Cricetulus griseus: one gene and its partners. The protein of the gene in region 3 purifies or fractionates together with the protein of the main gene of each other region. This does not show direct contact. Links are inferred from orthologs where the notes say so. Each region holds a gene or a part of one and is shown on either strand. Other genes may lie near its edges.

Region 1 (3,998 bases), on a different chromosome or scaffold from region 3:
TACCACTTGCATTTTAGTGTGTAGGATAGTGGTCTTGGGAAGAGGGAAGACTTAAGCTATCTCTTTGGAACTGTATGTGCAGCTACCCAGCACGTAGTTGTCCCTGCTTTCCTCCTTCCTCCCCACCAAAGTCAGTTTCACAGGGCAAGGATGTTCAGTGATCAGAACGCTCCAAGAGACAGGAGGCCTCAGCCTGGTCACCACTTCATCCCTTTGTTTGTACTTCCTGTGCCTGGCACTGGAATGTTGGGGACAAGTCTACTCCAGGAACTGCCCATACAGTGTGAGAGTAGGTGACTAGTGTATGCACAGGGCCAGTGGAAGCATCAGAGCTCATGGGATGGGAACACTGGGGCTCCACAGAGCAATCGGTGCTGTCACAGCATGCTGCAAATGTATAGAAGCTTTCAAGGGAGGCTGGAAAGAAAAGTCATACCAGCCAGCAGCAGGGAGGTCGGCAGAGATATGGTTCATGGAGCAACACTTGGTTAGCTTCCAGCTTCTGGAGCCAGGCTTTAGGTGAAAGACTGGCAGACAGTGAGGCCTAAGGGCAAAACCATCTTCTGTCTGCTCTCAGGAGTGCAGGGGCACAGAGCACTTTCCACTTCAGGACCCTTGCATGGTTGCAGTGTTCACTCTGCCCGTAGTGTGGGCCATGAGGTTCAAGGCTGTCACATTGGGCTAGGCCAGCATTAGGTCTGAACTGAGGTGCATTCAGGCAAGGAGCATGTGCACATGACCAGGACTGTGCCTGCTGGAGGCGATGCTGGAGGGGGAACTGTGGAAGCCTCAGCTTTTAATTTCCTTGGTGATCTTAAGCCTTTAGACAGAGTTGGTAATCTCTCACCCTTGGGGCAGTTGGGTGGCTGAGAGCCTGAGGTGACCACCTCCATATACCACAGCCTCCTTCAGAAGCCCTGAGGGCCAGACATGTGGTGCTACCATTCTGTATGCCATGGGCAGGCACAGATGGCACCACCACCTCCCACTGTGCAGCGAGAAGCTACCAGGCCAGAGCTGTAATTGGTAGGCAATAGAAAACATGGTTATAGAAGCAGAGCTCTCTATTCCTGGGCTAGAAATGTGTGCTCTTGTTTTGGCTGCATGTACCATATATTGTCAAGTAGAAATGCTTGGGTTGGGAATATGGCTCAGTTGGTAGAATGCTCACTCAGTACACAGGAAGCCTGGGTTTCATCCTTGGTATCACACAAACAGGTACTTGCTTCTGAGCTCAACCCTCAAGAGGTGAAGGCAGGAAGATCAGAGTTCATAGTGAGTTCAGCTCCATACGTAGTGCTTCTTGCCAAATGTGGTGAGTCACACCTGTATTTAGGACTGGGGAGGCAGAGCCAGGAGAATCAATGTAACACTGAGGCCAGCCTGGTCTATACAGTGACATCTGTCTCAAAACCATCAGCTTCGACTCTGCAGATAATTCCCAGGCTTCCTTTTTAGAGGCATCTGTATCAATGGTAACTATTGGTGGCTCTGGCTGAGCTCCTTGGATGGTGCCACCCCAGCTGTTTCTTTACTGTGTTTGGTTTTCAGATGAGAACAGCAACCAGAGCTCCATGTCTGATGTCTATCAACTCAAGGTGGACAGCAGCACCAACTCAAGCCCCAGCCCCCAGCAGAGCGAGTCTCTGAGCCCTGCACACACTTCAGACTTCCGCACTGATGACTCCCAGCCACCCACACTGGGCCAGGAGATCCTTGAGGGTGAGTTGTGGAGGTGCCTTACATAACATCTTTGGCCCTTGTTAGCTTCTGTGTTTTTGGCCTGTTACCCATAAGTCACAAAATTGAACTTGGTGTGGTGTGAATAATGTGTGCCTGCTGTTAGCCAAATGTTGTTCTAGCTCCTTCCATTTGTTTTATCTAATGTTGGAGCAGCCCACTCATAGGGCAGGGAGGCCTAGTAGGAATGGTGATATTTGGAATGGCAGGTGAGTTTTGGTTCCATGTCTGCCACCTAGGCTGGGATGGTGGTCCTCTGTGGATAAAGTCACACTTTATCCATCATACATGAGGGACACTGGCTCCTCAGCCAGGCCTGCACATGCTTCCAAGGCCCACATCCTCTTGACATGACTCTCAGGAACTCTTCCCCAGACCAAGGCCAGCCTAGACCTACCTTGAGCTAACTCGCTGCTGTTACAGAGCCATCACTGCCTGCATCTGAAGTTGCAGATGAGCCTCCCACCCTCACGAAGGAAGAGCCGGTCCCACTAGAGACACAGGTAAGAGGTCCCTGGCTTTCCCCATTTCCAAGGAAGAGAAGGAAAGACTCTAGGAATTTTGTGGATAGCACAGCTGTGCAATGGTAGGGTGCAGAGTTTGCTGGGGAAACAGTCACCGGGTTTAAAAATAGGGTCAGGGTTTGGTCACCTGTGAACAGACAGAGGATAGGCTTCATGCTGCAGTGTGGTGAATGGGCAGGGCTACTCAGGGCTGGCTCGTCATGCTCTGTCCTGCTGTTTGTAGACCACTGAGGAAGAGGAGGACTCCGGTGCCCCACCCTTGAAGCGATTCTGTGTGGACCAACCTGAAGTGCCGCAGACCACGTTGGAAAGCTAGCACCATCCTGGCCCCTCGCCTCCTGGCCCCTGCCTCTATTTATTGCATTCTGGCCTAGCCGAGCTCTGATGCTGGGGTCCAGGCAAGCACTAGGGTCCAGAGCCTTTGTGTGGGAGCCCTCTGGGCTAGAAGGCTGATGGAGGGCGTGGGGTCGTCGCATCATCTTCCTGTCCCTGACACTTGTGCCTGCTTGCTCTTGAGCAGAGGAACACTCACATCCTTTCTGCACCCCAAGTAGGCCAGAGCATCAAGGTTCATTTGCCACCTCCAGAACCACTGCACGGAGCTGCTGGCGCTGCCACGAGGAGAAAGGTGTGGAAGGCACCCTAGAGAAGAGTGCCTAGGATTACTTGAACTTGAATGGAGACTGTACAGTCATGGACTTAGCCACAGGGCCTGGGCCCTGCAGGCTGCTGCTGGAAGAGGGACTGATCGGTAGAGATGTGGAGAGCAGTGGGGAGATGCTTTCCCAGGAGGGAAGGCTGTCTGTACCTGTGGGCAGGCCACCCATGGGGGATTGCATCCTGTCCCTGAGGCAGGCCTGCCTCTGGTAGATGCCCCAGTTGCTCCCAGCCCTGTGCCTGCCAGAACCTTCCACTTCCCCCCACTCACCCACTCACCACGCACACACATGCAGCTTCCGGTTTTCACTGTCCATTGCATTCCAGCATCCCTGCCTCCAACTGCAGAAACCCCAGCCAGGATTGGAGGTTCTGACCACAGTACCTGCTTCAGCTCAGACTTTCTAGAAAGTTCCCTTTTCTTTGAAATCTGCATGTTTAATTGAACTTTATGATTTTATTTTTTGTCTGAAAAAAGAGTTTAAGAAAAAATGGAAATGGGCAACAGCAAGTGAAGACCTATTTTAGCACTGAATAGAGTATTTTTAAAATTAAACTATTTGAAGTATGTCTTGTTAGTGTCTGATTGCTTCTTTCTACAAGGTTGTGGGAACAGACTTGGGGTGGGTGTGCCCTTGTTGTGAGGTCCTTATGGGCTGACCCCGCCCACTGTCTTATTCCCATGGAATGCACTTTTTTCTTTCCTCCTCCTTTTTGTTTTTGTTTTTGTTTTTGTTTTTGGAGACAGGGTTTTTCTGTGTAGCTTTGGAACCTGTCCTGGCACTTACTCTGTAGACCAGGCTGGCCTTGAATTCACAGAGATCCACCTGCCTCTGCCTGGTCCATGGAATGCCCTTTCTGATAAAAATGGTTTGAAGACTGCCCATTTAGCAGGGTGGTGGGGGCAAATGCCTTTAATCCCAGCACTCCCTCCCAGAGGCAGAGGCAGGCGGATTTCTGTGAGTTTGAGTCCAGCCTGGTCTACAGAGCAAGTTCTAGGACAGCCAGGGCAACACAGAGAAACCCTGTCTTGAAAAACAAAACAAAACAACAACAACAAAAAAGACTGCCTGTTTG
Region 2 (3,563 bases), on a different chromosome or scaffold from region 3:
AGTTCCAGGTCAGCCAGGGCTACATAGTAAAACCATGTCTAAAAAAAAAAAAATGTGTTTGTTTTCATTTCATGTTTGTTTGCCACATGTATGGAGGCAGTAGAGGGTCAGATCCTCTGGAAGTGGAGTTATGAACAGCCACATGGGTGCTGTCAGCCAAACCTGCATCCTCTGTAAGAGCAGCAAGTGCTCGTCACTGCTGAGCCATCTCTCTAGTCCTGTGTGTTCTCTTTTTTTGATAACATGCTGACTCTAATTTGTGCTGCTCATATATTTATGGGTGTGGCCCAGCCCACAGGAGCATGGTCAGCCTACCAAGGGCGACACCCTTAAAGAAAACAGACTCCCCCAGAAGAATCAAGAGCCCCTCCTTCATGCTGATATGTTGCCTGGCTTCATCCTCAAGCAGCTAAAGCTACGGTGCTTTCATGAGCCCTGTGGTCCTGTCAAGGCCAGGACCATTCTCTGTTTTGTCTGGCAGGCCCCAGACACAGGGACCTCCTTAGTTAGCCAGGGCCTGTGGGGGAGGTGTAGGGAGGAGATAATCAGACTAGCTCTGGTCAGACTCCCTGACCTCACAGGCTCGGGAAAGCTGGGCCCCCTCCCACATGTATGCATGTGTACACGCTACCCTCTCCTCAGCAGCTATAGGATATCAACCTGTGCTCTGTTCCTGTGCAGATGAAAACAGCAACCAGAGCTCCATAGCAGATGCCTCTCCCATCAAACAGGAGAACAGCAGCAACTCCAGCCCTGCCCCAGAGCCCAACGCATCTGTGCCCAGTGACGGCCCTGAAGCCAAGGCTGACGAGGCACAAGCTGATGGAAAAGAGCACCCTGTAGCTGAAGGTACTTGCTGTCCAGGGATGGGACTCAGAGGGGCTGCTGCGGGTGTTTTAAGGAGGCTTTGCTGTAGGCCAAGCCTAGACCATGAGTGTAGAAGAAAAGTAAGGCCTGGTTTGGAGCCATTAAGACAGGAGAAATCAGAGGGTGGTAGTGGCGCACGCCTTTAGTTCCAGCACTCAGGAGGCCAGCCTGGTCTACAGAGTGAGTTCCAGGACAGCCAGTGCTGTTACATAGAGAAACCCTGTCTGGGGGAAAAAACAAACAAATAAGCAAACAAATAATAAAATTAAATAGCAATCACTAGAATTAGAAAATGGGGTGACAGTCTTGTTTAATTATGAAGTTGGTTAGGAAAAGCTTTTTTGTGACATAAGTCAGGTAAAGATGTTGGGCAAGTAAACAATTCAAGAGGCTATCTGGGAGAACATTGGGCAGACAAGCAGGTGGTACAAAGGCCCTGAGGCAAAGGCAAGGTCAGTGTGGCAAGAGAAGTGAGGGATTGGAAAAGTAAGAGTCAGAGGTATGGGTGGGCTCCAAATGTGGTGAGCTCATAAGGCCACTGCTCCCTGACTTTTTTATGAGCAGTGAGACACCACCATGGGTTGATAAGACCTAAAGAACTTAGAAAATGTGATGTGGTGCTTAGGGTGGAGGTGGCAACACCTTTGTGAGATTGCAGCCATTATCTGTGAGGGAGGGTGGTAGCTAGGCTAGAACAGGAGCAGAAGGGTGATACAAGTTCTAATAACTGGTGGTGGGTGGTATAGAGCTCTAAGCCCAGCCCAATAGAGGCTGGTACAAGATGACCAGTATGAGGCCAGCCTGAGCTACAGAGCAAATCTGGGGCCAATCTTGAACAAAATGAAGAAGTTTGGGAGATGGCTCAGCAGTTAAGATGGCTGCTCTTTCAGAGGTCCTGAGTTCAATTCCCAGCATCCATATGGTGGCTCACCACCATCTCTAGTGGAATCCAATGTGCTTTTCTGGCATACAGGCATACATGCAGATAGAGCACTTATACATAAAATAAATAAATCTTAAAAAAAAAAAAAAAAAAAAAAAAAAAAAAAAAAAAGAGTATTGGTTGCTCTTACAAAGGACCCAGGTTCCAATCCCAGCTACCACAAGGTAGCTCACAACTCCAGTACCCGGGGTATACAGTCCAGTGCCCTCTTCTGGCTTCCAAGGGTACTGCATGTATGTGGTGAAAACAAACACAGAATAAAAACAATGGATAAAAGGCTAGAAATGGGGCATTGGTGGCGAACGCCTTTAATCCCAGTACTTGGGAGAAAGAGGCAGGTGGATCTCTGTGAGTGCCAGGATAGGCTCCAAAGCTACACAGAGAAACCCTGTCTCGAAAAACCAAAAACCAAAAACCAAAAAAAAAAAGGCTAGAAATGTAGGTCAATGGTAGAACTCTGACCAGGCATGCAAGGACCCTAGGCTTAACCCCCCCCACACACACACCAGAAAAGTTTCCTTATAATTGCCCTAGTGGCTTTGCTAAAGCCCTGTCCCATTTACATCTATGGGCATGACCTCTCGTCTCTCCTTGAGGGCTCTTCTAGTCAGGGCAAACCCACTAGGCTTCCCAGGATCTTGCTGGTTAGATAACACTTAAGGCAGAAGGTGGAGAGGCTGGGATGGGCCATAGCCACAGCCAAACTGCTGTTTACTACAGCATGGCCTTGGACAGACAGCATCGACTCCCATGTACCTACCTGTTTTCTTGTTTCTAGAATGGGACCGATAAAAGTGGCTTCCCTTGTCAGGGTGTCACAAGGAATAAAGGAGGTGGAGATATCAGCAAAGTGCTCAGCAAAATTCTGGGGTGGAGGAAGGGACTGGGGGTTTGGAGTGGAGTGAGCCCCCACGCCCCACTCTGTGTGGAAGGGTGTTCTGAGGTTACTAGGGCAAGTGTGATCATGTCTGGAGCTCTCTTGGCGTCATTCCTATTCTGCTGTCTGGTTACAGCCTTATTCCCCATTGGAATCTGGGTCCCATTCCCCCTAACAGGCCAGTTGAGCTCAGCTGTCTCAGCTGTAGGAGTTAATTTGGGGTGACAATTCTGTGACGCTATCTTGTATACCTCCACACCCCAACTGCACTGAATACTTCACAGGCCCAAGTGGGAATCATACCAGGATCCTCTTCCAGTCACCCCAGGCCACTGGGCTTGTACCCACCTGCCCCAGCCCTCATGCAAAGGGAATAAGCCCAGGACCCATGTGACCTCCCCACAGGTTGGTGAACTGGGAACGGGTGGGTTGGCCACCAGCTGTTGACCTTGCTTTGAACTTGTTTACTGCTGGGTAAGTTCAGGGAATGACATAATGTCCAAGCTCCCTGAGCTAAATTTAGGCTCCGGGAAAATAATTTCCCCTGGGTGCGTTCCAGAGGCACCAGGACGCTCAGAGAACAGGCTGCTGTCCTGAGCCCTGGCATGCTTTGAGCTGCACCATTGGCTCCCTCTGAACCCACAGGCCTGGCTCTCAAGGAAGCCTGGAACCTGGGCATGCCTGTGCCAGCAAACAGGCTGTGTGAACTTCAAATCTCCTGTGACTGACTGCCTAGGGAGCCTTAAACCCTCCTCCCCCTCCATCTGTAGATCCTGATGCATGCAGAAAACAAACTGGCCACAGAGGCCAAGCCACTGATAAGGCAGACTTTTTAGGTCAGTTACAAATGTGTTTTGTTAAAGAAAGCAAATAGAT
Region 3 (4,163 bases):
TTAGTCATCTCTTTAAACTTCTAAATCGCTTACCATTGGCTGTTTCTAGCCCTTTAATGTCTTTTACTTGTCTTAGCATTTGCTGTTCTTTTTCTACATGCTTTTCATTTAAAACAGTTACAGTTACACTATTGTGAGTTGTGATCATCGATACTTCCTTCTTAAACCTGCCAGCCTCTGTCCTTCCCTCTCTCTCTGGGGTGTCTGTCACTGAGTCCTCAGGCTGACCCTGTCACACTCTTTGCCTAGCACCTGGCTGCTGTTGAAGAGAGGAAGATCAAGTCTTTGGTGGCTCTGCTGGTGGAGACCCAAATGAAGAAACTAGAGATCAAACTCCGCCATTTTGAGGAGCTGGAGACGATAATGGACCGGGAGCGAGAAGCAGTGAGTAGCATCCAGTCAGAAGTCAGCAGGAGCCTGGAGCCCTGCCAGAAACTGGGCTTAGGGGTCCTGAGGCTGACAGGACATCACAGCAGACAGGAGTAGGGCAGGGTTCCTAGCGACTTCCACAGGTGAGCCGCTAAGTAGGCTTTTTGACTGCTACATCTCTAGGTCTGGCAGCAAGCAATGCTTACCTCTTACTAGATTTTCATAAAGCTGAGTGCCTGGCCAAGTGGGCGTTGGTGGCGCACGCCTTTAATCCCAGCACTCCAGAGGCAGAGGCAAGTGGGTCTCTGTGAGTTCGAGGCCAGCCTGGTCTCTAGAGCGAGTGGCGAGTGCCAGAATAGGCTCCAAAGCTACACAGAGAAACCCTGTATCGGGGGGGGGGGGGGGGGACACTATGTGCTGGGAGATTCAGAATAAAGTCAAAATTCAAGGGGCCAGTGTATCCATGTGGGAATGCTTCCTAAGAACAGTAAGTTTTTAGCAGATTTTGAAGGAAGAAAACTTAAGTTGATAGGAACTGGAAATGAGTAATAACAGGTTCAGAGTTTTGGGATTGAAATGAACCAGAACCACACCATATCTGCTAACATGCAGTGAAGAGGGATGTGGATACCGGGAGGAGGCATGAAAAGAGTGGGATGCAGAGGACAAAGGAAGCAAGGGTTCGGTCTTGGGGAAACACCAGCTGAGAGATAGGGTCTTTGAAAAGAGAAAGTAGGCCGAGGCATTTGCCCAAGTATCTTGTGGGACCTGGTAACAGTATTCCGTCGGCACTGGCAGCTGGAGTATCAGCGGCAGCAGCTCCTGGCCGACCGACAAGCCTTCCACATGGAGCAGCTGAAGTACGCAGAGATGAGGGCCCGGCAGCAGCACTTCCAGCACATGCAGCAGCAGCAGCAGCAGCAGCAGCCAGCTCTGCCCCCAGCCGGGGCTGCCGGGCCACCCACAGCCCATGGCCTAGCCGTGGCTCCAGCAGCTGTGGCCCCTGCTCCTGCTGGCAGTGGGGCCCCTCCTGGAAGCTTGGGTCCTTCTGAACAGATCGGGCAGGCAGGGACAACTGCAGGGCCCCAGCAGCCACAAGCAGCTGGAGCCCCCCAGCCTGGGGCAGTCCCACCAGGGGTACCCCCCCCTGGACCCCATGGTGAGTATGAGTTCTGCAGTGTGTGTTGGCTGTAGAGAGCCAGCCAAACATTCTGGTTTCTTGAAGGGATGACCTGATGGGCCCAGAGATGAGTTGGTTGTAGTTTCTACAGGTGGGCGCCATTATATTCTGTCCCCAAACCAGCAGGGATTTTTCCCAAACAGATATCTGGGGTTTTATTCCAAGAATTTACCACTTATTCTAGTGTCAGGAAAAGGGGAGGTGGCACCAGCTCGTGGCTAGTGAGGCTGGAGCTGGTACGCAAGGGTTCACCTCTCACCTCTTTGTCCTCTTTGTTTCTAGGCCCCTCACCGTTCCCCAACCAACAAACTCCTCCCTCAATGATGCCAGGGGCAGTGCCAGGCAGCGGGCACCCAGGCGTGGCGGGTAATGCTCCTTTGGGTTTGCCTTTTGGCATGCCGCCTCCTCCTCCTCCTGCTGCTCCATCCATCATCCCATTTGGTAGTCTAGCTGACTCCATTAGTATTAACCTTCCCCCTCCTCCTAACCTGCATGGGCATCACCACCATCTCCCGTTTGCCCCGGGCACTATCCCCCCACCTAACCTGCCTGTGTCCATGGCGAACCCTCTACATCCTAACCTGCCGGCGACCACCACCATGCCATCTTCCTTGCCTCTCGGGCCGGGGCTCGGATCCGCCGCAGCCCAGAGCCCTGCCATTGTGGCAGCTGTTCAGGGCAACCTCCTGCCCAGTGCCAGTCCACTGCCAGGTGAGAAGGGGCCAGGAGGGGAGAAGGGTGAGGGAGAGGGTTCCACACGGTGGGAGGGAGGGCAAGCGGGGAAGGGTTAGATGCTAGGATTTCCACAACTGTTTTCAACAGTCTGGTAAAACTAGAATACAGGAGGAAGGGCCTCTCTGCCTGTCCTCCATTTCCCAATTTGGCAGCTGCCACCCCTGGGATGACGTTGGGGCCTTTCACTGGTGGGTCATGGAGGAGTCCAGTGGCACAGAGGACTTCAGCTGTAAACCTGGAAACTAGCTACCCATTTGCATGACGATGGCACTCCTTTGCTTGTTCCCACCACATTCAGATGCCCCATTTAGAGTCCTTGGGGGCAGGAGGATGGTTTGGGGTATGAGATTTTCCCAGTGTCAGGTGTTAAAGGGTATTGGGAAAAGAAGTTCCACAGAGTGGGCACCTCACTCATCTACCCGCCCACTGCATGCCACGCCCAGTTCTCTGTGTGCGCGTGTGTGCGTGCGTGCTTGCGTGCGTGCGTGCGTGCGTGCGTGCGTGGAGTCTGGGGATGGAGCCGTCTCTGCCTGCTCCAGCTCACTTGTCTTCCTTTTCTCCACAGACCCAGGCACCCCCCTGCCTCCAGACCCCACAGCTCCAAGCCCAGGCACAGTCACCCCTGTGCCACCTCCACAGTGAGGAGCCAGCCAGCCATCTCTCCCCCTCACTCCCTGTGGAGATCACAGTTCCAGGAACAGCCCTCCCCCACTACTGGGACCCTCCCTCAGCCTGGAGAGTTCGGCACTACGTAAGGAAAGCTCTTCCTGCCCCTTCACCGCCCCCACCATGCCCAGCAGAGGTGTGCAGTTTTATATCCAGTTCTTATCCACGGACTTCTGACTAAAAGATGTTTCTAATGCCTGGGAGGGAGGATAGGATGGAGATGGTGCCCTCAAAGGAAGGGCTGGGGAAAGATGCTTTTACGAGGTTCTACTAACCACTTCTGAGGGCACACCCCCTTCAGACTTACTGCATTCTTGAAGTGGATAACATGAAAACGCAGCCCTTAAAAAGGGAGGTTTTAAAAAGACACATTGGAGCCCACAAAAAAAAAAACAAAAAACATTTTTTTTTAAAGGGGGAAGGGCAGGTTTTAAGAGGAATTAAAGTTTGGGGGCAAGTTGTGGGGATGGAATAGGGTACCAAGCCTGTCTCCCCGAGCCCCTTGGTAGTACTGAGTCAGCCCCTTACCCATTCCAGTTCACGCTAACCCCTCCTGCTGCTTCGTCATTGTTGCTGTTTTAGGCCACCCCAGCTCAGCCAATGACCTTTCCCTCTGAATGTCAGCTTTGTGTTTGTTTTTAAAAAGTCACCTGCTTAGTTGATGTCAGTGTATGTGTATTTGGTGGGGAAATGTATTTTGGGGGGGATTCCGTGGTAGGTAATAGAGGAAGAAAGGGCCATGGTGAGGGCTGTTCTTCCTGCTTTCCTTGGTTGTTTCTGAGCGTTTAGAAGACATGGAAATCATTGGGAGCTCTAAGAGGATGGGCAGTCTGTAAACTCTGGAAATTTGAAAAGCACTTAAACACCTACTTTTGACAGTGGGACGGATACTCTGCTAACTTCTGCCCTCTCCTGCCAAGCCTGGCAGAACCTCACTGATAGTTAGGCGGTCCCCAAATGAGGACAGAGAGTTGGGAGCAGCGCGGCATGGCTGTGCTCCCTGGGCACCAGGGCCTCTCCACTAAAGTCTCCCTCTTCACCCTCTTTGTGAGGCAGACAAGATTCCAGGCTCTACACCAATGCTTGGTCCTCCTGCCAGGCCCTTTGATCCTCCTGTCTCAGTGTTTCTTTTCCTCTGCATCTTGGCATCTTTCTTCTGTTCAAAGTTTTCTGTAAAATTCTTTCTTTGTTCTTTTCTTTTTTTTTTTTTTAT

What was found. The genes of interacting proteins can lie anywhere in the genome.
Region 1: the proteins of Smarcc2 (region 3) and Bcl7b purify together in Homo sapiens (affinity purification with mass spectrometry; 3 studies listed by BioGRID and IntAct, counting the BioPlex papers as one, with this or other methods). This does not show direct contact. The link is inferred for Cricetulus griseus from reciprocal best matches to the Homo sapiens genes SMARCC2 and BCL7B.
Region 2: the proteins of Smarcc2 (region 3) and Bcl7a purify together in Homo sapiens (affinity purification with mass spectrometry; 4 studies listed by BioGRID and IntAct, counting the BioPlex papers as one, with this or other methods). This does not show direct contact. The link is inferred for Cricetulus griseus from reciprocal best matches to the Homo sapiens genes SMARCC2 and BCL7A.

The regions. Positions count from the first base shown.
Region 1 is NC_048597.1:114,258,238-114,262,235, forward strand, and holds the end of Bcl7b (B-cell CLL/lymphoma 7 protein family member B), read left to right. Parts: intron 1-1,551; coding exon 1,552-1,722; intron 1,723-2,163; coding exon 2,164-2,243; intron 2,244-2,487; coding exon 2,488-2,580; 3' UTR 2,581-3,491; downstream 3,492-3,998. UniProt on the Homo sapiens protein: Positive regulator of apoptosis. Plays a role in the Wnt signaling pathway, negatively regulating the expression of Wnt signaling components CTNNB1 and HMGA1.
Region 2 is NC_048597.1:103,134,479-103,138,041, forward strand, and holds part of Bcl7a (B-cell CLL/lymphoma 7 protein family member A), read left to right. Parts: intron 1-681; coding exon 682-849; intron 850-3,563.
Region 3 is NW_023276806.1:129,407,479-129,411,641, reverse strand, and holds the end of Smarcc2 (SWI/SNF complex subunit SMARCC2), read left to right. Parts: intron 1-249; coding exon 250-384; intron 385-1,167; coding exon 1,168-1,528; intron 1,529-1,831; coding exon 1,832-2,260; intron 2,261-2,849; coding exon 2,850-2,926; 3' UTR 2,927-3,612; downstream 3,613-4,163. UniProt on the Homo sapiens protein: Involved in transcriptional activation and repression of select genes by chromatin remodeling (alteration of DNA-nucleosome topology).